Linked DNA regions of Cricetulus griseus. The protein of the gene in region 2 interacts with the protein of the main gene of each other region in a pairwise test. Links are inferred from orthologs where the notes say so. Each region holds a gene or a part of one and is shown on either strand. Other genes may lie near its edges. The genes, in order: glycine N-methyltransferase, Arrb1 and Mapk9.

Evidence for each region.
Region 1: the proteins of Arrb1 (region 2) and glycine N-methyltransferase interact in binary tests that used the Homo sapiens proteins (3 or more experiments, as listed by UniProt). The link is inferred for Cricetulus griseus from reciprocal best matches to the Homo sapiens genes ARRB1 and GNMT.
Region 3: the proteins of Arrb1 (region 2) and Mapk9 interact in binary tests that used the Homo sapiens proteins (3 or more experiments, as listed by UniProt). The link is inferred for Cricetulus griseus from reciprocal best matches to the Homo sapiens genes ARRB1 and MAPK9.

Annotation. Positions count from the first base shown.
Region 1 is NW_023276806.1:256,141,165-256,148,798, forward strand, and holds the end of glycine N-methyltransferase, read right to left. Parts: 5' UTR 6,032-7,634; coding exon 5,826-6,031; intron 3,982-5,825; coding exon 3,854-3,981; intron 3,312-3,853; coding exon 3,201-3,311; intron 3,022-3,200; coding exon 2,879-3,021; intron 2,786-2,878; coding exon 2,664-2,785; intron 2,570-2,663; coding exon 2,398-2,569; 3' UTR 2,223-2,397; downstream 1-2,222. Other genes in the region: Pex6 (peroxisome biogenesis factor 6), read left to right, coding at 1-19, 91-296, 394-455, 650-758, 1,034-1,150, 1,278-1,355, 1,467-1,606, 1,779-1,915. UniProt on the Homo sapiens protein: Catalyzes the methylation of glycine by using S-adenosylmethionine (AdoMet) to form N-methylglycine (sarcosine) with the concomitant production of S-adenosylhomocysteine (AdoHcy), a reaction regulated by the binding of 5-methyltetrahydrofolate.
Region 2 is NC_048596.1:99,977,913-99,985,770, forward strand, and holds the start of Arrb1 (beta-arrestin-1), read right to left. Parts: upstream 5,081-7,858; 5' UTR 4,859-5,080; coding exon 4,803-4,858; intron 2,157-4,802; coding exon 2,126-2,156; intron 375-2,125; coding exon 314-374; intron 1-313. UniProt on the Homo sapiens protein: Functions in regulating agonist-mediated G-protein coupled receptor (GPCR) signaling by mediating both receptor desensitization and resensitization processes.
Region 3 is NC_048600.1:64,314,609-64,322,325, reverse strand, and holds the start of Mapk9 (mitogen-activated protein kinase 9), read right to left. Parts: upstream 3,931-7,717; 5' UTR 3,864-3,930; coding exon 3,742-3,863; intron 3,364-3,741; exon of another isoform or gene 3,167-3,363; coding exon of another isoform or gene 3,123-3,166; intron 1-3,122. UniProt on the Homo sapiens protein: Serine/threonine-protein kinase involved in various processes such as cell proliferation, differentiation, migration, transformation and programmed cell death.

The DNA.
Region 1 (7,634 bases), on a different chromosome or scaffold from region 2:
AGCTGTGGGCGCACCCAAGGTGAGAACTAGGTCCTCAAGGTGGGGCAAGCGCTCCTTCCTGTCACCTCCCTACACTCCTCTGTCTCCTAGATCCCTTCAGTGTCCTGGCACGATGTGGGTGGGCTGCAGGATGTAAAGAAGGAGATCCTGGAGACCATCCAGCTTCCTCTGGAACATCCTGAGCTGCTAAGCCTGGGCCTGAGACGATCAGGCCTTCTACTCCATGGGCCACCGGGCACTGGCAAGACCCTCTTGGCCAAGGCAGTAGCCACTGAGTGCAGCCTCACCTTCCTCAGGTGGGCAGTGCTTGGAAGGACATGTGGGAGGGAAGAGAAGACAGCTGTACCCACTATACACATCTGATGGGTCTCACTCGCCCACTCTGTTGCTCAGTGTAAAGGGACCAGAGCTCATCAACATGTATGTGGGCCAGAGTGAGGAGAATGTGCGGGAAGGTGAGTGAGCAGGGAGGGGGCCTGGGGTCCTTCTTCAACCCCAGTGGCCCTAGTGCCACCTCCCTCCCCCAAGCTGTTGCTCACGGTCAACCCAGTTGGGCAATTGCCTCAGCTGCCTGTGCTCAACTGTCAAGACCCATTTCCCATCCCCCTCCCCTGATTTGAAGCTCCTCGACACCACTCTCCTTTCTCAGTGTTTGCCAGGGCCAGGGCCGCTGCTCCATGCATCATCTTCTTTGATGAACTAGACTCCTTAGCACCAAGCCGGGGGCGAAGTGGAGATTCTGGAGGTGTGATGGACAGGTCAGGGGTTCAGAATGGGAATGGAGTCTGGGATCCCAGATGGGAGGGATGTGAGATTAGTCTTCTGATCCGGGACCTGCCCTTCCAATTCAGGGCTAGTAGAATGGACACAAAAAAGGAGTTGGGTGTGCAACTTTGAGAAGGAGGGCTGCCTTTGTGGAGAGGGACAGGGGGCAGAACTCAGCAAGGGTCCTTGCTGAAGTAGCCTTCAAAGAGAAGCATTGGCAGCATGAGGGCATACCAAGGACACTCTGGCCTTTGCCTCCTCTCTACAGAGTGGTATCTCAGCTCTTGGCTGAGCTGGATGGCCTTCACAGCACTCAAGATGTATTTGTGATCGGAGCCACTAACAGACCAGACCTCCTGGATCCTGCCCTTCTGCGGCCTGGCAGGTGGGTATCCTGAGTCCCTCTCCTCAACCAGACCCCTTTGGGCCTGTTTCTTGACTTCTATTTTGTATGTCTTTCACTTCTCCTGGCTGGCAGCCCTGACACTTTTCCTGTTTCTGTCTCTTTGAAGATTCGACAAGCTGGTGTTTGTAGGGGCAAGTGAGGACCGCGCTTCCCAGCTGCGTGTTCTGAGCGCCATCACACGCAAGTATGCTTTGTCACAGGGCTGAGGCCTCGGGATGGCTAGGGGATGTGCCAGTCAGTATGGCTTTTCAGGGGAGAGCTGAAGCCAGCTATAACATTTCTGTATGGGTAACAGGTTCAAGCTGGAGGCCTCTGTGAGCCTAGTGAACGTGCTGGATCGCTGCCCGCCTCAGCTGACAGGTGCAGACCTCTATTCTCTCTGCTCTGACGCCATGACAACTGCCCTCAAACGCAGGGTTCGAGACCTAGAGGAAGGTGAGACTACTCACCAGCCCCAGATGGGAACCAAAAAGCTCGTGGGAGACAGGCCTGGCCCTGAGTTTACTTCAGAGGGACAGCTGAGCAGGAAGGTGCCGCACAGACCAGGCCTCGGTTCTCCAGCTGCGTGCGTGCGTGTCTGACCTTACTCTTTCTTGCCGCCCCTCAGGGCTAGAGATGGGGAGCTCAGCACTGCTGCTTACCATGGAGGACCTGTTGCAGGCTGCAGCCAGGCTGCAGCCCTCAGTCAGCGAGCAGGAGTTGCTACGATACAAGCGCATCCAGCGCAAGTTTGCCGCCTGCTAGGAGCTGCCTGCCATCTTTGTCTGCATCTCCCCACATGTCTGAAAGTACCTGTACCATGTCACCTGAAGCCTGCCTTCCTCCAGGAGATCCCTTGTGAGCCATAGTAGAAGGCCCTTGTGTTTAGAAGGAGAGCCAGGCCTGGCAGTCTGGGAGCTTGGCAGCCTGGGGAATTGGTGTTGAGGCACCAGTTCTATGACAGAAAATAAAGTCTGTACTGCCCCTGCTGGTGTTGTGAGAGGTTGCCTTGCAAAGGGCAAGGTTTTGGGAGGAGTAAGGTCTAGGGGAGGGGATGGACACCATGAGAGCAGATTACTTGGGAAAGAAACACAAGGAGGATTGAAAAAGGCACAGACTGTATTGCTGATTGCCCGTTTGCCTGACCCCACATCCCTGCACCCAGCTGCAGGATCTGTGTCAGATGTTGGTCTTCGGGTGAGGCTGCCATTGCCTGGTCAGGGGCCTTATTGGAGCCAAAGTCACCTTCAGTCGGTCTTCTTGAGCACGTGGATGAAATAGCAGGGGATGTAGGCCTGGCCGGGCCTATAAGGCTTGAAGTCGCCCAGGACACTGTGTTGGCACTTGCCCCCAAAGGCTGCTTGGAGCAACTCCGTGAAGGACACCAAACAGTGTGGGTAGTAAGAGAGCCGGAACTTACTGCAACAGGGCCCCCAGCCAAGCGTGAGGGCTGCTGGCCTCAGTTCCCCCACCACCACCACCATCTCCTCATTCCTGCCAAACCATGCCATACCTGAAGCCAGGAGAGCCATCTCTGCCAGAGCCTGGCACCTGCACTGTGTAGTCCAGGGTTACCATGTGGGCTTTGTTGTTCACTGCCAGCACTGATGTTGTGATGTCCTTGGTCAGGTCACTCTGTAAGCAGTGGCAGCAACTATATTAGCTTCCATAAGCCACTATGGGGCTTCTGGCCTCCCAGCTCACACCTCCCACTCAGGCCAGCCCGACCTTATAGTAGATGTTCTTCCCTGGGGGAGCACAGCCCGTACTGAGGATGTAGTCGTAGTTGCGGTGATCGATGACCAGCAGGCCCCCAGGCCGCACCATGCTTGCAATGTTCTTTAGCGCCAGCCGGTGCTCACTCTGATCACCTGGGTACCAGGCAGGGCCACAGACACTATCTGCTTGGGCCTCCAGCACCATTCGCCCTCCCAACTCCCTCCCAACTGCCAGCACTAAGGAAGAGAGGCAAAATGCAGGGCTGCCTTATTAAAGCCAGCCAGCCAGCCACCCACCATTGGGAGTGGTGGAGCTCAAGGCAAAAGCTCACCTTTGCAGTCTGGCAAGTGAGCAAAACTGTTCCCAAGGCAGATGACAGCATCAAAACCATCTCCTGCAGGCACATCTTTGTCCAGAGTCAACCAGTTGGCTTCTTCAATGACTGGAGGCCGGGGAAGGAGGACAGAATCAGTGGCATGACAGTACAGCATCAGCCATCTCCACCCAGGGACACAGGGGATTCATTAGGGACATGGAGGATGAAATGGGAGAGCACCATTGTTGGAAAAGCTAAGAAAGACAGGATGCTGTGGACAGGTAAAAGTTGTACAGAACCCTGCATATGGTGTGCACCTCTAGTCCCTGCTGGTTGGAAACCTGAGGCAGGAAAATCACTTGAACCTAACCTAGCTAGAGCAGGCAACATGGGAAAACAAAATGCTGACAGTGTGTGACAGTGTGGCTCAGGTGTCAAGTGTCTACTCAGCATGCCCAAGATCAACCCAAGCACCAAAGATAGAGCAATCTCATTCTTAATACCTGCTCTCTCAAAATGATGTCAAAGCCTTCCATTTTAGGAAGGTGACAGGAACTGCACTATACCCTGAGGAAAAATGGTCAGCCCACTCTGCACAAAAGAGGCCAGGGCAGAGAGAAGAGTGGCCCTGGGAGTGTATGGCTGGGGCTCTGGCTGGACCTACATACCCCACTTGTCAAAGGCTGGTTCCTTCCTCCTGTTCCAGCGCTCCTTAAGTGCATACTTCAGCATCTTGTCACTGGCATCCACACTCGTCACACTGAAGCCCTCTTCCACCAGCATAATAGAGTCCACTCTGGATGAGGTCAGAGGTGAGGGACTGAGAGGGCCAGTCGGGAGAGTGGGAGGCCAAGGAGGATGCCATGCACATGGCATTTTACCAAACATACTGTTTCATAGTTCTTTCCTCTGCCCCCTGTCTCAGGCCACCTCCACTGACCTCAGGTGATCCCATGAGTATATTCCTTTTTTTTTTTTTTTGTGGGGACAGGACTTCATTGTGTAGCCATGGTAGTCCTGGAACTCACTCTGTAGACCAGGCTGGCCTCAAACTCAGAGATCCATATGCCTCTGCCTACTGAGTGCTGAGATTAAAGGTGTATGCCACCCCACCACCAGGCACGAGTATATTTCCTTATCACCAGATAGCAACAAGTTTTGGGGTTTTTTTTTGTTTTGTTTTGTTTTGTTTTTAAGGTTTTTAGCCTGGTTTACATAGTGAATACCAGGATAACCAGGGCTACAAAGAGAGACCCTGCCTCAAAAGAGAAAAAAAATTTAAATGTAATTTTATGTGTCTTGTCTGAATATGTGCATCATATGCATTCCTGCTGTCTGCAGAAGCCAGAGGAAGACGCTGGGTCTGGAAGAGCCTAAGCACTCTTAACTGCTAAGCCATCCCTCCAGCCTATTAAAGATAGGGTCTCATGTTGTAGCCTTGTATGGCCTGGAGTGCACAGAGATCTACCTACATAGGTCTCCCTGTGTGCTGGGATTAAAGGTATGTGCCACTACACCTGGCAGCAACATTTTTAATTTAAATTTTAAACACCCCCACACCACACCACCCCTGCAGAAAGACAAGGTTTCTCTGTGTAGCTGTAGCGGTCCTGGAACTCTGTAGACCAAGCTGGCCTCGAATTCACAGAGATCTGCCTGCCCCTGCCTCCCAAGTGCTGGGATTGAAGGTATGGACCACGACCACCCAGCTTAAATTTTAAATTTTAATCATGTCTGTATGTGTGCATGTGACTGCAGTGCCCTCCAAGGCCAGAAGAGGGCATTTTGTTCTGGAATGGAGTTACAAACTATTGTGAACCACCTGATGTAGGTGCCAGGAACTGAACACCTGTGTAATGCAAGAGCAGTGGAGGCTCTTGGTGGCGAACCATCTCTCCAGCTCAACACTTAAAAAAAGAAGTAATCGGGCCCGGCATTCAGGAGGCAGAGACAGGCGGATCTCTGAGTTCAAGGCCCATCCTGGTCTACAGAACGAGTTCCAGGCCAGCCTCCAAAGCTACAGAGAAACCATGTCTGGAAAACAAAAAACAAAAAACATCAGAACCAGACACTATACAAATGTACATTTGAGAACTCAGCCTACCAAGGCTCCTGGAAATAAATGCAGTATGTGCCCTGTGCTGAGTCCGAGTATGGGACAGACACTAACTGTCCTGGTCTGCATCTGCTCCACCAAATGTGGGCCTTCGTACTAATTGGAGCTTCCTTGGTACTAATTGGAGAAAATCACTACTTACCTCATGGGTTTTGTTGTTTGAAACACATGTACCCAAACTCTTGGCACAGCATTTGGCTGTGCAAACGAGGCACACATGGTCTGTTCACACTACCCGAGGCCATCACAGGAGGAGCAGCGCTAGGGCCAAGGATCCAGCTTGACTCGAAGTCCGGCTTTTGCTCTGTCCCATGAATCCTGTGCTTGCACCCTCGCCCCGGGCCAGGTCTCCTCGGCCCCCTCCCACACTATTTTGACAGGTGCTTTCTTTCATCATGCCCATTCTACCCCAAGGGCAGGGACTGCTGCCTGCCAGGCTCCCGCCCTCGAAGGCCGCCCCCACTGGCCTTCCTGCGGTGCTGCGGGCCGTCCTGGCTAAGCCCTCTCAGCTCGCTTGGACTCACCCTGTGCCACAGGCCACGTCCAACACCCGACGGCAACCATGCTGGCGCAGCAGCCCGAGCAGCCACGCCTTGTACTCTGCGGTGCGGCTGCGGGTGTCCCCGATGTACAGCTGCCACACGCGTGCGGCCTCCCCGTCCGCATACTGGTCCGGGAGCCCTTCTGCGGCCACCCCCAGGGAGCGGGTGCGGTAAATGCTGTCCACCATCCTGACCTGCGCCTGGCTCTCAGGCCGCGAGCGAGCGAGCTCCGCACTTATAGTCCTCAGGCCGGGCAGTCCACCTGGCCAATGGCAGGTAAGAGAGGGGATACGCCCCTGCTGGGCCCGGAGCCCCGGGAACCGAGCCAGGCTGCCTCCGCAGTGGGGATGGATGGCTCAGCCAGGCAATCCTGGACCTGGGTTTCCCCATAGTGAGATAGAACAGATAGAACGCAGCTGGGCGGCCAGGAGCTAGGAGGAGCCGAGAGAAGACAAATCAATGAGTGCCCAAGCCATCCCTACCCAAGTGGGAAAGGGAAGAAACCTTTGGAATACCCGCTAAGCAGAATTAGACCACGCCCAGCACAGTAGGGTGCCCCTCACTAATAGTCCACACAAGGAACACCACACAGAAAAGGGCCACTGTTTCTCCGGGTGATGGAGAAAGTCTTTGACGAAGATGCTGATGTGTCTATTCAATAAAAAGAACCGAGTCCACTTGGAGATACGTGTGTCTCTCTAGGTGACATCAGGCCCCTCCTTCCTCCCATCCCTTTTCAGGCCAGGGGCCTTCTGAAGTAGTTTGGGCCGTCCAATCCCTGAGCTATACCGAACACTCTCCTAAAGGCTGGGTGCAGTGAAACTGAGGAGCTGGAAGAACGCCCACAATTGTGCGATCGTTTTTAACTTTTTTAAGTAATGTGTATGGTTGTTTTGACTGCATAGATGTCGGTGTCCTACATGCGTATCTGGTGCCTGTGGAAACCAGAAGAGGGCATCAGATCCCCTGGAACTGGAGTTACAGACCCCATCATGTGCGTGCTGGGATATGGAACCTAGATCCTATGGAAGTGCAGGCAATGTTTGGGTTTTGTTTGGTTTTTATTTGTTTGTTTTTTCAGAACCCAGACAGGGTTCCTCTGTGAAGTCCACCTGGTTGTCCTGGAACTTGCTCTGTAGACCAGGCTCACCTCCAATTCAGAGATCTGCCTGCTCTTCCTCCTGAGTACTGGGACTAAAATGTGAACCACCACCGTCCAGCTGCAGCCATGGATTTTAATTAACAGTTAAGCTATTGCTCCAGCCCACTTTTTTAAAAAAACTTTTTATTGTTAGTACAGAGCCATTCTCAATGGTTCTGTCCAGGCTCAGATAATACAGTCTCGGGGCTCAGTAGCCCTCACACAGGTCTGTGACACTATGCTCATTCAGACTCTGAAACTGAGTGTGTTGGTGCACACCTGTGATTCCAGTACTTGGGAGCCTGAGGGGGTGAGAGCAGGAGTTCAAGGTTATTCTAGGGTACATAAAGCTCAAGGCCACTGATGGACTACATTAGTCCCTGCAGAGGGAAGAGAGAGAAATTATATTTGAGAATTTCAAGGAAATCCAATGTCATTTATCAAAATATTCTTGGAGCAAATCTAACAATCCTAGACTTTTTCATTCATCTTAAATGGTCATCTTTTATTTACTTAGGTTTTAAAAAAGGCAGAGTCAGCTGAATCTGTGTGAGTTCAAGGTCAGCCTGGTCTACATAGTGAGTTCCAGGACAGCCAGAGCTATGTAGAGACCCTGTCTCAAAAAACAACAAATTGTGTGTTCAGGAATG
Region 2 (7,858 bases):
AGAAGAATTTCCCCAGTAGACAGCAGGGCCAGGGGCTAGAAGCCAGACCCTACGACTCACTAGCTCTGTGACCTGGAACAAGTGGCTGAGCCTCTCTGACTCATTCTGTCTGGAAAGCAGGAGATATTGCTGCTGCACAATAAGCCTTATATAATCTGTGGCTGCTGCTGTCCAGTCAGAAAGGACTCTCTCTTGAATAGGGAAGAGCTGCCCAGAAGCTCTCTTCCTGAAGCAGGAGGCCATGCTCACCCATTCTGGGTACCAGACCCTTCTGGAGGTAGGACTCTTCCCTAGCCCTCTGCCCAGCACTCACCCACAGGGTCCACGAGGTCAATGTGGTCCACAAAGTCCCGCTTCCCCAGGTAGACAGTGAGCTGGAGAGGAGAGGCACAAGAGTGTTAGTGGCTGTGAGCCAGCATGACACAGGACCCTGCCCTGGAGCGAACACTGATGCCTACACACATTCCTAACCCTTACTGGAACTGCAGCAAAATGTGGCCCACTACCCCAAACCTAATATTAATGATAGTAGACCTTTGAAAAGTTTTTAAACATCTCTGCTTCCCAACCCCCTATGAAAGGGTTCTTATTCTTCCCATTTTATAGACAAACATACCGAGGCCCATGGAGGTCTTTAAACCAAACCCCACTGAGGGCTGGAGGAAAAGCAGATCAAAACAAGAAAGCAGGGCATCCTGGGGTCAGGCAGGCAAGCCATGTACTCAGTGCAGGTGTTGATGTGGCTCTGGGCTCTTCAGCACTGCCTACTCTGAACTAGGCAGGGAGCTACTCACATGAGGACGTTTCTTCTAGGGCACTGAGGAATCAGGGAGCTAGCTCCCTACCCAATCATCAGCTAGCAAGGAAAAGCCCTAAGCCAGATAGAATTCTACTGGCTCAAAACTGAACTGAGAACACCATCCTAGACGTCCCCTGCTCCTCAGCCTTCCCACAGTCCTGACCATTCTACTCCATCATGTTCTTCAAGGGAGACCACATCAGTCCCTTTGACATTTGGTAGCCTCCAGCTGCTCACATCACCTTAGCCACACCTAAAACGCAAATCTAAGCAAGCAGCTGTTTCAGACAGCTGTGCCTTTCTGAAAACCCTTTAACCATTTCCCTTGCCTCAGGGGTAAGGATGACAGTCCGATTTCATTCTCAGTACCAAATCTAATTGACTGGTCTGGGATGCCTGTGGCCCTAGATTGCCAAGGAATCCAAGATAGGACTGATCCTGGCTCAGCAGGAGAGGTTAAAGATGATTAACGATGGACTCCAAATGGAGATATAGACATGCAGAAGGCAACCCAGGGTGTGTGAGCTGCTAAGCCCAGCCACAGGAAACTGCCATGTGCCCTGTGTCATCCTCTACACTGTTCCTTCATTTCGCTTGGAGACTTACAACCCTGGGATGCCCCACACTTTCTTGGATTTTATGCTCAACCCTAGAGATCCCCCTCTTCACCTAGCTTTGCCTAGAACTGTGTCACCTCCAGAAGAAGCCATGGTTGACACACACATCCCAGGCAAGGTCTTCCAGTCCCTGGGCATCCCAGAATCTCACACTTGGCATTCTGTGTGAGATGATCAACTTTCACACTGGGAGCACCATGCCTCTCTTATCTTGGTACCCTCCCAACCCCCAGCAGTCCCAGCCCCGACCTAGCATAGATGTCAGTACTACCTGTTTGCTGAACAGAGTAAAATGGGATACAGCCTACAGCCTGTGCAAGCAAACAAGAAGCCCAGGCCCTGGGAGTCCCAGAAGAAAGATGGATGGATGAGGTGACACCATGACCTCTCACACCAGGGGACTTGATGGTGTCACAGTGGCCAGCTTGCCTCAGTTTCTCACACTCACACTGATGTCTCTTTGGGAGAAGCCAGTCCATCTCTCCCCCAACTGGGGCTCCCTGAAGCCCACACAGAAAGTTTCCAGGGAGCTCTCCCCCCCACATCCCACACATCCCATTGGGCTCCTATGGCCCTCAGGACAGAGCTGTGTCAGCCCTAGACAGCTAACAGTGCCTGTCTCTCCCAGGAGATGCTGCTTCCTTTCCTAATCCACAGAGGCACCCAGAGTGTGGGAACAGTGAGGAGTCAGCACACACTACAGACTCACCTTTCCATTGGGGCTTGCCTTCTTGAACACTCTGTGAAAAGAAAGAGAGGCCAAGCCAGGGTTAATGGATTCTGCCCAGCCAATCTCTTGCAGGCGACCCTAGACAGGGCCATAGATAAAGGCCTTGAGTGTCCTACAGGGACCAGCAAAGCCTCAGAGCAGGACAGCTTCCTTCCTTCCACCTCTCCTCCTAGGATGAATGTTAGCTGCCTGCAGCCCTCCTTCAATCCTTCAGAGTGGGCTGAGGGAGACTCACAAGCCCACCCAGCTCGAGTAAAGGAAAATCCTTCAGTGCCTGCTAAGTCCCAGTGATCTGACCTGGCCTCTTTCCCTCCCTATGTCACCTCCTGCCACCCTCCCTTAGTCTCCAGCCTCACTGCTCTCCAGCCCCTCTGTTCCTCGTTCCTTATCCACCAGGTGATTGCTGCACAAGGCCTTTGCTCCCAGTTTCCCCTACCCTACTCTCTTACCCTGGACACTCTTCCCAAATGCCCACTTTCCCAATCCCACTACCCCTGTCAGCCAGTCCTTCTCTTGATTCACTCTTCCTTTCTTCCCAGCAACCCCCTGACCATATACTTTACTTCTTGCCCCACCTGTCTGCTCTGCTGGCATGCCCGCTCCAAATATGCCCACTGTCTCTCCTGTCCACGGGTACATCCCAAACACACACAAAGGCACACGTCACTATTGTTCAAGAAATACTTGTTAAATGATTGAGGGTGGCAAGAGTACAATATAAACTAGTTGAACAGATAAATGAATGAATTTCATTGCTTCACTGAGGGACAGAGGCACAGGAATGTGGGGGCAGATGCCTATGCTCGAATAGCAGAGCACTGGGCCTGAGATTAGATGGTAATGTAGTCCCTAAATCCTGAAGAGTGCCACTTGCCTTTCATGGCAACCTTTCCCCTTCTAGAGCTGTGTCTGGGAACCCGAGTCTCCCTCGCCTAAGTACCTTTATCCAGCCCACAATTTCTCAGCCATTACTGGGGAGAGGCAGAAGAAAAGTGAAAGCTAGAGAGATGGGGATGAGGAAAGGTATTGAAAGGAGGGGAGGTGTGAAGAGAGAAGAGAGAGACAGAGGTAGAGGTATGAAAATAAAAGATGAACAAGAGACAGGAGGAGAAGAAAACCAGGGAAAGAATCAGAAAGCCTGAAGCAGGGAGAGATGGGACAGACCCAGAAAGGTGAAACCCCTAGGCAGCCTCAGCAGGGTGTGCCCCAATCCTTCCCAGAAGCTGATCTGCAGGCATCCAGGCCTGTGACTGTGTGGGGTCTCCACAGCCATGGCCCTGCCTCACCCTCCCTTCTGGGACCTAGGGAATATTGACAGGTCTGAGTATTGCTTGCAAAGGAGAGCGTGGCCCAGCCTCTCCCCAAACATTCCCCTAGGGGCCCTGGGAGCCTTGTCTTCTCATTAATATTTATCAGTGTTGGGAGTGTGAAGAAGCCACAACTGGCCAGGGTGTGATAATTGTTAAAGTAAGGGGAAAAAAATGCAGACCACTCCATCTGAACCAGCAACTCCAAGCTAGAAGCTAGGAGCTCCATGTTTCTCCAGGAAACCAGAGAAGTGAAAACCCTGTGGCTTCCAAGTCACAATTACCTCCAGCCCTTGGTAGCCTGTGCTCTAAGGAAAAGGAAAGATCTCACACCCAGGCAGGATAAACAACTGAGAGAGAAAGCCACTCTAGTGGCTGCCGGGAAGGACGAGGCACACGTGGGGCCAGGAGGAGCAATATTCACCAAGCAGCGGAGAGAGGCAAAGGGGAGGGGAATTAAAGCTCTGCCGAGCAGCTCATTATTTCTCATAGTAGAAAGGATAGTCTAACTCCCACTCCACAGATAATTAACTGGAGGCTCCAAGCGATGCATTAACTTGCCCAGGAGCACAGCAAGCAAGGGGCTAGGTCGGGACCCAGACTCACTTCTGACTGGGCCTCCAGAGATTGGTGCCTTAATCCAACCCACTGTTTCCTAAATCCATGTTTCAAAACGGCAGGAAGAACAGACAAGAGGGGAGGGAGAGAGGGATAAATGAAAGGTGACTGGGGTGAGGGGCAGAGTGGGGCTGAAGAGGGGCAGGAAGCACAGCCATCAGTGGGGAATGTCCTGCCACTACCTTAGTCAGCACCCGAGGCCACCTCCTTCAGGAAGCCAGGACTCTTGTGGCTTCCTCAAACAACAAGAGCAGCTGCCTCATTCTCTGTCTGTTTATTATTCCCCACTCATGCCTTTAAGTACTTTTCCCAGGACAAGGCTCTTCCTGGACAATCCCATTTCAAAGATGGAGACATTGAGGCTCGAAGAGGCACCCACGAGACTCAACCACTCCATCACATAGCCAAGCACCACCACTCAAAACTCCACTCACTTCTTGCCCCAACACTGTCAGAAAAGAGGCTCTATGGGGTATTTTCCGTTTCCACAACCCCACGTGTGCAACACCGCATAGACCTCTCTGCCCGTGGCCTAACCTAAGCCCACAATCCCAGCCAGCCTTGCTGAGCAGCTGCGTCTGTTCACCCCCAGCCTTGCCTGTGCCCCACAACCTGAGCCTTAGTCACAGCTGGGTTCCCCAAAGAGAAAGACCAGCAGTGTCCTTCCTGGTTAAGGTTCAGGATAGCTCGAGAAAGAAGAGGAGGTCCTAATAAGGAGGCCAAAATCTCACGGGAAGGATGAGCAGGCAGGATGCGCTGGGGCCGGAGCTGAGAATGGGGACGCCATCGGAGCCTCAAGCCGTAGCTCCCTGTCTCCACCGCTCCTTCTGGGGCTGCTGCAGGGCCTCCTGGCTGCGAGGCTGTCTGTGCGGCTGCTCCATTGTCTCTGTGGACCAGCGCGCCCCGCTTACTCAGGGATTTTTCTGCTCCTCCATCCTTTGGGCTCGCATGTGACTCACACTCCAACCCTGTTTCTACCCTGCCTCTCACTCAGCTTCCCGCTGCTAACTGACTGAATGGCCCAATTCCAAATTCCCAGGAGAGGAATCTGATTGGTCAGCTTTGATTAGGTACCCCACCCCCTGGCCCAATCACCTGTGTCCAGGACATAGCCTGTGGTCCATGAAGCATGAGCAGAAGAGGCTCTGGAGATTAGTATTGTCCAAACCAGAGGTTGCAAGTCACTGGTTGATTAGGAAACCTACTTAAAACATTACAGGTCGGAGAGCTGGCTCAGTGGATAAATCGCCTGCTTCACAAGCATGAGGACTTGAGTTCAGATGCCCAGTACCCATGTAAAAGCTATATGTGGCAGGCTGCACCTGTAACCTCAGCACTGGGAAGGCAAAGATAGGCAGATCCCGGGGGCTTCTGTGGCCACACAGTCTGGCCTACATAAAGAGCTCTGGGTTCACAGAAAGCTCCATGTTTAGTGATGGGCCCTGTTTCAAAAAATTAGGTGAAGAATGATAGTGGAAGACATCCATAGTTGACCTCTAGCCTCTACGCACACATACACATACAGTACGTACATACACAGAGATCCTTTTTTTTGAGGCAGGGTCCTGGAACTCAAATACAAACAAGCTGGCTTCAGACTCACAGTGATTCTCCTGCCTCTGCCTCTCAGGTGCTGGGATTAAAGACATGCGCTCCTATGCCTGATTATATTTTGAGGTTGGTTGTTTGTTTTCAAGACAGGGTCTCACAAATGTAGCTCTAGCTATCCTGAAACACACTATGTAGACCAAGCTAGCCTCAAACTCAGAGATCCTCCTGCCTCAGCCTCATAAGTGCCACTACACCTGGCTTTATTTTTTGATTTTTAATGAAATGGGATGGACTAGACTATAGAAACAAGTGCTACAGGCAACAAAGATGTACTAGATACTCCCTACAGGCACCAGGATTCCCTGAGGCTGGATGTATGGGATGCCAGGCATCTTCCTTCCTGTGGAGTTGGACGCCCCCCTGTGGCTTATTCTGACCAATGAAATGCGGGTGCAAATGTCACATGCCACTTTCAGCCAGAGGCACAGAAGGAACCATCCATGGGTCCCCAAACCCTTCAAGCTCATTTTCTGTGGCTGCTATTTACAAAGTCCCACGAATTCAGTGGCTTCAAACAACACAAACTTAACTAGAGTTCTGTGCTTCAGAAATTCAAGTGGGCTTCCTTGAGCTAAAATCAAGGTGTCAGCAGCCCTTGATTACTTCTGGGGGGTTCTAGGGCAAATCTGCTTCCTACTCTCTCTGGCTTCTGGAAGCCTCCTCCTTCCTCCATCTTCAAAGTCAATGAGAGAAGGTGGCCTTCTCATTATATACGGCATCACTCAGATCTGCCCTCCCTTTCCTTTTGAAAACCATTGAGATGACACAGGGACCATCTGGGTAATCCAGAATGATCTCTCTGTTTTAAGGTCATCGGATTAGCAGCCTGAAGCCCATCTGCAACCATCATTACCCATTGCCACATAGCACAACATTCAGAGGCCCCAAGGAGTAGGACCCCGACATCTTGGGACAAAGCATTGCTTTGCCTACCACACTGTCTTTCTGTGGCTGCTAAATTCAGCAATGTTCTGGATATTCTGCTACATGGTAGTACAAACAGAGAGGCTTGAGTCCTGTCAGATACATGATTGTAAAATTTGAAATCCTGAGCTGGGTGATGATGGCTCATACCTTTAATCCCAGCACTCGGAGGCAGAGGCAGGTGGATCTCTGAGTTGGAGGCCAGCCTGGTCTACAGAGAGAGTTCCAGGACAGGCTCCAAAGCTATCCTGAGAAATCCTGTCTCGAAAAAACAAACAAAAAATTTGGAATCCTGAGGCATGTGTTACAGCAGCAGACCAGCTGGAACCCAACAAGGAGAATGCCTATGATAAACCGATCCTGAAATTCACAGGGGAATGCAAGGGAGAAGAACTGCCAAAACAATCCTGAAAAGAATAGGACAAATTTGGAAGGCTTGGACTTCTCAACTTCAAAACTTACTACAAAGATACAGTGATTAAGGGGGCTGGAGAGATGGCTCAGTGTTTAAGAGCACACACAGCTCTTCTAGAAGACCTGAGTTTAATGCCAGTATCCACACCGTGCAGCTTACAGCCACCTGTAACTCCAGCTCCAGGGGTATGACTCCTCTGGCCTCTTCAAGCATCTGCACACATGTACACAGACAAACACATTAATAAAAACAATAAATTATTTTAATGATAGAGTAATCAAGGCTGTGTGGTACTGACAACATAGAGATCAATAAAAGATAATTAATAGTATAGAAATAAACCTACATATTTGTGGCAATCTGTATTTATCTATATTCAAATTGTGGCATTTTTATGATTTTTTTACAAGAGAGCTAAGACAAGGTGATGAAGAGAAAGAACGGTCTTTCTGTCTGTCGGTCTGTCTGTCTTCCTTCCTTTCTATGTATCTTAGGCTGGTCTCAAACTCCAGCTTCTCATGCCTCAGCCTTATGGGTGGGAGCCACCACACCTGCTAAAATAGTCTTTTCAGCAAATAACAGAGGGGCTATAAGTCTACATGCAGAGGAATGAGGTGAGGCCCCTACTTCACACCATATACAAAATTGGCTCAAAATGGACCAAAGACCCAAATGTAAAAGCAACTGCCATGAAACAATTAAAGAAACTATTAAGTGTGCAAATCTTCATGTCCTTGAATTTGGCAATAATTTTGATTTGTTTTGTTTTTCACGACAGAGTTTCTCCATGTAATCTGAGCTGCCATGGAACTCACTTTATAAACTAGGCTGGCCTTG
Region 3 (7,717 bases), on a different chromosome or scaffold from region 2:
CAACTGTAAAGACAATTCAGAACAGGAGGGGAAAGTCTGGGAACGCAGCTGGACAACAGAGGCTTGCCCAGCACATCTGAAGCCGAATCTGATGTTTAGCACTGCAAACAAAACCAAAAATTAAATTAGGGGTCAGAATATTTTATCCTGGCTCCAGCTCTTATACTTAACTCTGTAGAGCACCATGGCTCTGGTGCACACCTAGCCCTATGTATACAATGGTCTAGTTTAACAAAACTAACTAGGTTAGAAACCACGAAGTGGTGCTAACACATTTTATTTCTCAAACCTGTAAAAATACACTTGCTTCTTAGTTTCCAGTGCTGTTCTTGTGGCTATTGAATGGCCACAAGTTATTGATTTAAAACAACATACATTTATTGTCTTACACTTCTGGAGTTCAGAAGTCCAACATTAGTCCTAAGGGGCTAACATTAAGATCAGCTTAGCTGTGACCTTCATGGAAGCTCTGGGAAGAATCCATTTCCTTCCTTTTTCCAGCTTCTAGAAGCTTCCTGCATTCTCATCCCACAGCACTCCACCTCTGTGGTCCCATTTCCTTCTCTGACTAGGACATTCCAGACTCCCCTTTGTAAGAACAACTTCCAATTACACTGGCCGGGCCCCCACCTCAAGCTCACTGATCTGTTGCTTTGTTTTCTATACGGGGTCTCACTCTGTACCTCAGGATGGCCTTGAATTCACTATGTGGTCCAGCCTGACTTGCCACTTATAGTAGTTCTGCTTCCAGAACTTGAATGTTAAGATCATTAATTTAATCAAGGCTGCAAAGTTCCTTTTGTCCTGTAAGGTCACACATGCACAGAAGTCTAGGCTTAGTATGTAGCTATCTCTAAGGAGCCATTATTTTGCCCATTACACCCCCAAAGGTTCACTGATGGACATTTTTTTTAATCTAATCCTTTTTTTAAAAAAAGATTTTATTTACTTATTACAATACAGTTATCTGCATGCATGCACACCAGAAGAGGGAACCAGATCTCATTACAGATGGTTGTGAGCCACCATGTAGTTGCTGGGAATTGAACTCAGGTCCTCTGGAAGAGCAGTCAGTGCTCTTAACCTCTCAGCCATCTCTCCTGCCCCCAATGGACATTTTTAATGTACAAGTACAATGCTAACAAAAAGTTTAAGACTATTAATAGAAAAATGGCTAGCTCTTAATGATAAGTGGTAGAAAATCCAGTTCCTATTGTCAAGGTAGCAGCTTATCCAATATTGAACTTATTTTAGCAAAAGTAAACTTTTTGTTTTGCTTTAATAGGAATGTACCATTACCAGATCATTCCCCTATCCTAACTGATACCATACATCTGGGCAAAGGATAAAAACAAAAGAGGAAGTGGGGGACAAGTACAATCACTTCTGAAGGTTTTACTTTCCTATATTAGAACATACTATAAAACTGTCAGTTACAAAATTAAAGTATGTATACATATGTATACATGGGTGTGTGTATATATATGCAAATATGTATGAATACATATACCTGTGTATATACATACACATATATCTGAGTGTCTGTATGTATATATGTACATATGTATGTATGCTTACATATGTATGTAGGTTTTTGGTGCTAGCAAGGAACCCAAGTACTTCCATATACTATGCAAGCACTATACCACCGAGCCTCCTCTCTAGCCCTAAACAGTTCTTGGATGTAATCGACCTATGGAGATGGATATAATTCATTGAGAATTTCTAAAGAGGTATTTAATGAATATTGATTTGGTCATTGTTATTAAGATTTTAAACAAAAATTAGGTCAGAGTCCTGGTCAGTGATTCAAGTCATCAAGTTCTAACTAAGTGCAATAAAGTTCCAAGAGATCAACAGGTGGTTTAGACCCAGATCTATCCCTAAACCCATGGGACAAAAACAAGTCAATGAGCTAGTCCTCAACTACATCACATATACAGAGACTGTCAGGGCAGATCTTGTGTAATTATATACTATATACTATCTACTTCACTTTTAAACTTCAAAAACAAGTCAATAATGGACCCAGTGGATAAATGAAGCCCATATTTAATATGGATGCTCTGTCTACCTCCCTCCAAGATAATTCATATCCCCCCTTCCTCCATCCTCTTGTCAAATTACTATCTAATTCCAAGTAAGAAAGAGTTTACATATCAAATAAACACTCATTACTTTCTATTACCACCCACGTTACAACCTGAGCCATCCCACTGACTTTAAAACCTTTCTTGTCACAAGGGTTTAAATCTGGTTTGATCATCTTCAGAGTAAATTCAAAATCTCAGCACTCCAAAACTGAAGCTTTTTGAGCATTACTGTGGTACTCGGAGTACTGGATTTTGGAGCATTTCATTTTTCAGGATTACAGATGTCCACCAGTAAATACAAATATTGAAAAGTGTGACAAAAATCTAAACTCAGGTCAGGCGTTGGTGGTGCACACCTTTAATCCCAGCACTCAGGAGGCAAAGGCAGGCAGATCTCTGTGAGCTGGAGGCCAGCCTGGTGTACAGAGTGAGTTTTAGGACAGCCTCCAAAGCCACAGAGAAACCCTCTATCAAAAAATCAAAAAAATAATAATAGTAATAGTAATAATAATAATAATAAGTTAAAATCTAAGCTCAGAAACACTTCTGCTTCCGAGCAGTTCAGATAAAGGACACTCTGCCTGTACTAGTGCTCACTGTCACTTGGAAGTTAACACCCCACTATGTGCTCACAGCTGGCACTCCCTCCATGTAGCACCTTCTTCCCTAGTTTCTTCTCTGAGCACCCAGGTCTCCCCAGTTGCCTACATTAAGGAAAACAGCAGATTTCCCTGATCAGAGTCTCTGCAGTGGAGTATCAGCTGAAGCCCACTGATGATGCCATGCTCAGCATCTTCACAGGAAAACCAAAACTCTCCTCCTGGAATGCCCAGAAGAGGACTTTTATTTTCAATCCTCTTTGCCTACCAGCTGTAAACATTAAATGTTTTATGTAATCACAATTTTTTTAAAGACAAAAAAACCTTGTTTATCACTGGGGAGGGAGGGGGGTCTCATCCAAAAACTACAGTCTAAAAAGTTTGGGAGGTGCTGATAACGGTAGTCTAGAAAACACGTGAGAAACGTTACCTTTGTCTGGCCAGTGATGTCGCAGCAGCTGACTGTCTTACCATGCAAGAGCCTAAGGTTCAGGGTCAGACCAATGGTTCTGACGTCCTGGGCTGGACACATAGTTGAAGAGAGACACCAAAGAAGAGACGGCCAGCCCAACCCCTCACACAGCATCCCTTCCTGGTTAATCCATGGTGTGATAATGACACTGCCTGGCCTCATCCTGCCAATGAATGGCAAGGCACTGCAATGATGGCGCCTGGAAATGAATAGGAGTGATTGGGAATAAAAGGAGGAGGGGGGAGAAGGTGGCCATGATGAAGAAATGAATAAAACGCCAAATTCCAGTTACACCTCACTGAATACCAATTATTCTGATATCATAATGACAGGGCAAATAAAAAAGAAAACAAAGAAAAAGAAACCAATAAATAAATAAAACCAATAACAAAGCAAAAGAAAAATTGAGTTTGTATCCTATAAATGACTGTATATAACTATAGCAAGGATTGATTTAGTTTAGCTCAAAATCTAATCTACAACAGGGGGTATTTTTTCAATCAGTGTTTCTAAACTATGATTTAGTTTTACTTTTCACTAGAGACTTAGTCTATGCTATTAGAACGCCCAGACTTACCAAACAATTCCTTGGGCTCCAGAGCCAATCGGTTTCAATTGCTGGTAACGTTTTAGGACAGTGAAAGTTGAGTCCGCCACTTGCACACTGTAAAACTGACCATCACTTTTACTGTCACTCATGATGTAGTGTCATACAGTATTCTGAAGAGATGCTACCTTCGTCAGATCCCTAAGGAGAGAAACAGAATGAACTGATGAGCTTACCAAATTGTACACTAGGATCTCAGTTCATAGTGGGTCCGATCTGCTGGAATGTAAAGGTATGGCTATGAGATGGGAAAATCAGCTTGGCCAAGATCTCAATTTAAGCAAGGGCACATCCAAAAAAAAACAAAAACAAAAACAAACAAACAAACAAACAAACAAAAAAACCCAGACATTTCAGTGGTGTAAGACCTTCAAAAGAAGAAATTAAAACAAAATTTTTCTAACATTTATTTTATGCATTTGGGTGTTTTGTCTGCACGCATGTATGTGCATGCCTGGAAAGCTGTGAGCCACATGTGGGTGATGGGAATGGAACCTGGGTCCTTTGGGAGAACAGTCAGTGCTCTTAACTGTTGAGTCACTGAAAAGGATTGTTGAGCCCTGAAAAGGAATTTTGAGATGCAGGAAGGCCACATTTTTAAAGGACTGTATTATAATAAATTGTTGGAGCTGGGGATACAGCTCAGTAGTGAGTGCTAGCATGCATAAAGCTGAGTTCACAGGAAAAACAGGTATGAAGGGGTGGAGAAAGATCCACTTCAGCAGAAAACATTTACACATTATTCCCAGCCATGGTAAGCCCACTATGTCACTGATGTGTCTCATCCATTTCCTTCTTGGGGAACCAGCTTATGTGTAGAAATCTCAGCTAGAGATGGAGCATTATTTCAGAATGATTGATTCTAGAGGTCCTGGAGACAGCAAGAACTGGGCATCTAGGTGTATGGATCCAGGCTAATATGATGAACCACAAAGTGAGACTCCTGTGCCAGTATAACAGGCTGTCTTGAGGATTAGAGACACTGGTATGAAGTGTGTGTCCCACAGATGAACCTGTTTCACGAAGGTGGAGCCAGAGTTGGCCTTCATTCCCTGTACCCCAAGCTCAGCTACAGTTCACAGTAAAATAATTATCTCCACTCTACTTATATTCACAAATATGGCTATAAACCAGTGGCTTCAGAAAGTAGTTTTCTTCTGGTTTGGACAGCAGGCTGATTCCCCCAATGGGCTTGGTCCTCAGAAGTGGGTGCTGTTTGGGAAGATGAAGAACCTTTAGGAGGTGTGACTTGGCTGGACAAAGTGGGTTGCTGGAGGACAACTTGAGGGTAACAGTTTCACTGCTTCCAGCACCAACGGCTCCCTGGTCTGTGGAGACTGAGGAACCCCAGCAGCAGGCTCATACCACTGTGTACTCCATCAGGGTGGGCTGTACCCTTGTAAGGCATGAGCCAAAATAAATCCTTTCTTCCCTAAGCTGCTGTGTCATGCATTCCATCACAGTGACTAAAAAAGGGAGAAATGTGACTGATATGCTCACCCTGTGAAAGGTAGGAAGAAGTTAACTGAAAAATTAATGAGTTATTATTTTGGTCTTTAAGATGCCAGCAACAATGGGAGGGAGAGGGAACTGGGATTGATATGTAAAATAAGATTGTTTTTAATTTAAATTAAAAAAGAAAAAAGATGCCAGCAGCAAAGCCATAGAGGCAAACATTCCATAAACAATCTTTTTCTACATTACCTTTCTCTCTCTCTCTCTCTCTCTCTCTCTCTCTCTCTCTCTTTTAAATTTTTCCAGACAGGGTTTCTCTGTGTAGCTTTGTAGGCCAGGCTGGCCTCGAACTCCCAGAGATCTGCCTGCCTCTGCCCAGCTTATTTCTATAGCACTACTAAACCCCTGCCTTTCTTGTTCCACCATTTAATATTTAATGTCCACCTGATGAGTTTTCTGCAATGAGAACTTTCTTCTCAACACAGTGATGCCTAAATTTCCTTTAAACATGGAAATAAGTTAGAAAAGGCTTAAACAAAGGTTTGAGATCAAAGAAGCAATGGAAGCCATATGCTAGAAACAGTTCAACTGCCCACCAGCTAGATTACTGAGTTGACCTTGTGGGGCAACGCCATTCCCATTTCTGGACCACCTGCCTATGCTGTGACTGGTACAAATCTCAATTTTCTCTGGCAACTCCCTTTAGCTGCTCACATCCCAAAGCTGGGCTAGTGTGATACAAGGCTAACTTCCTTGAATTTGGGGATGAGATCTAATCAGACTAGGCTCAGGAATTAATATAACTTAATCCCAAGACTTAAAATCATTCTAAAATTAAGATAAAGCACTTTTGTTAGGCAAAGAAAAAAATCATCTAAGGAAGAACCTTTCAAAGCCACTCCTGTTAAACTTGGGCTGCCTGAGAACAAGCCAAAGGCCACCCAACCCACACACATAAGACAACCTGAGAAAACAGGTAAGTTAGCTACTAATGGATTTATTCAGTTGCAATGACATTTTAAGTAAAAGGTCCATAAACTGGGGCTCAGAAAAAGCATTTTGCAAGCAGGGAAGTACAAGCATTCCTCAAGCAACCATATTAGCCACACATCCAAACCTGGATGTCATGCCACCAGCATGGGTCCAACACAATGTCCATCCATGCCACTTCTACAGTCTTGGCAGCATGCTCAGCTGGGTCTATAAAGGCTTTTATGGGTCTGTCTTTTCTCCAGGCCATGAGCTTCTTCTCACAAGCAGGGAGATAGGAGCTGGGTAGGTAACTCAGTGGCAGAGTGCTTGCCTGGCATAAGGCCCTGGATTCATTCCACAGTGAGGTGGGGGAAAGAGCACAAGAGAAAGGAGTGAGCAGAACAGTATAGACTGTCATGAAGGAAGGGTTCACAGAGGCAAGACCTGTCCTCCAGTTTGTTCACACGGTGGACAAAGACACTTAGCAATATTGGTGAGAACTGTAAGGTGGCAAATCATACACATAATAGCTAATGATGTGCATGCATGTGAATCCTAATGCCGCAATTACAAGTCCAGAAATTCACGGGAGTGAGTATGGGTTCAAGATTCAAAGATATCTGTACAAGAACAGAACACATCTAACCAGCAAAACTATAAACAACTCAAAACATAAAGTACAATGAAGTCATTAAACAGAATTCAGGGACTGTGTGTACTGGCTTGGAAAGATATCTAAGATACACAAAGGAAATAAAGCAAGTTGAATTAGAGTTCACATAATGCCAATCTGTGTGCACTGAGTATATACACACAACACATACACACATGTGAGCACGCGAGCGTGCACACACATACACACACACACACACACACACACACACACCACAGACTCTATACCAGCAAGAACATAAATAAGTGGGACGTGAAAAACGTTCCCATTAGAAGTTTCTGTTCTAGCTGGGAGGTGGTGGCACACACCTTTGATCCCAACATTTGGGAGGCAGAGGTAGGTGGATTTCTGTGAGGTCGAGGCCAGCTGGGTCTACAGAGCTAGTTCCAAGACAGCCAGGACTGTTTCACAGTGAAACCCTGTCTCGAAAAAAAACAAAACAAAAACCAAACAAAAAGAGGAACTTCCTGTTCTGCTTTAACCACATATGTTTATATTAAAAAAAAAACTAATCAAATTTTTTAAATTAAAATGAAAAGCTACAAAATGACCGGGTGATACATACAGGAGGGTGGGTGGGTTTGAGACAGATGACACTGGAGTGAGGAAAACAGCTCAGGCTCTGAGAGACACATTTACAAATTCTTTTAAGTAACCCGTGAGGGGTGCACTGCCATCCTGACAGCAAAGGAAGAAGCTGCGGTTTCCGGACAGTAAGGAGCTGCCCAAATTCCCAGTGTGGCCCAGAATTGAACTGAGGTGTATCTGACCACAGCACCCTCCTTCCTCCTAACATACCAGACACACATCTCAAATTAATGTAGGACATAAAGCCATGAGTCCAAG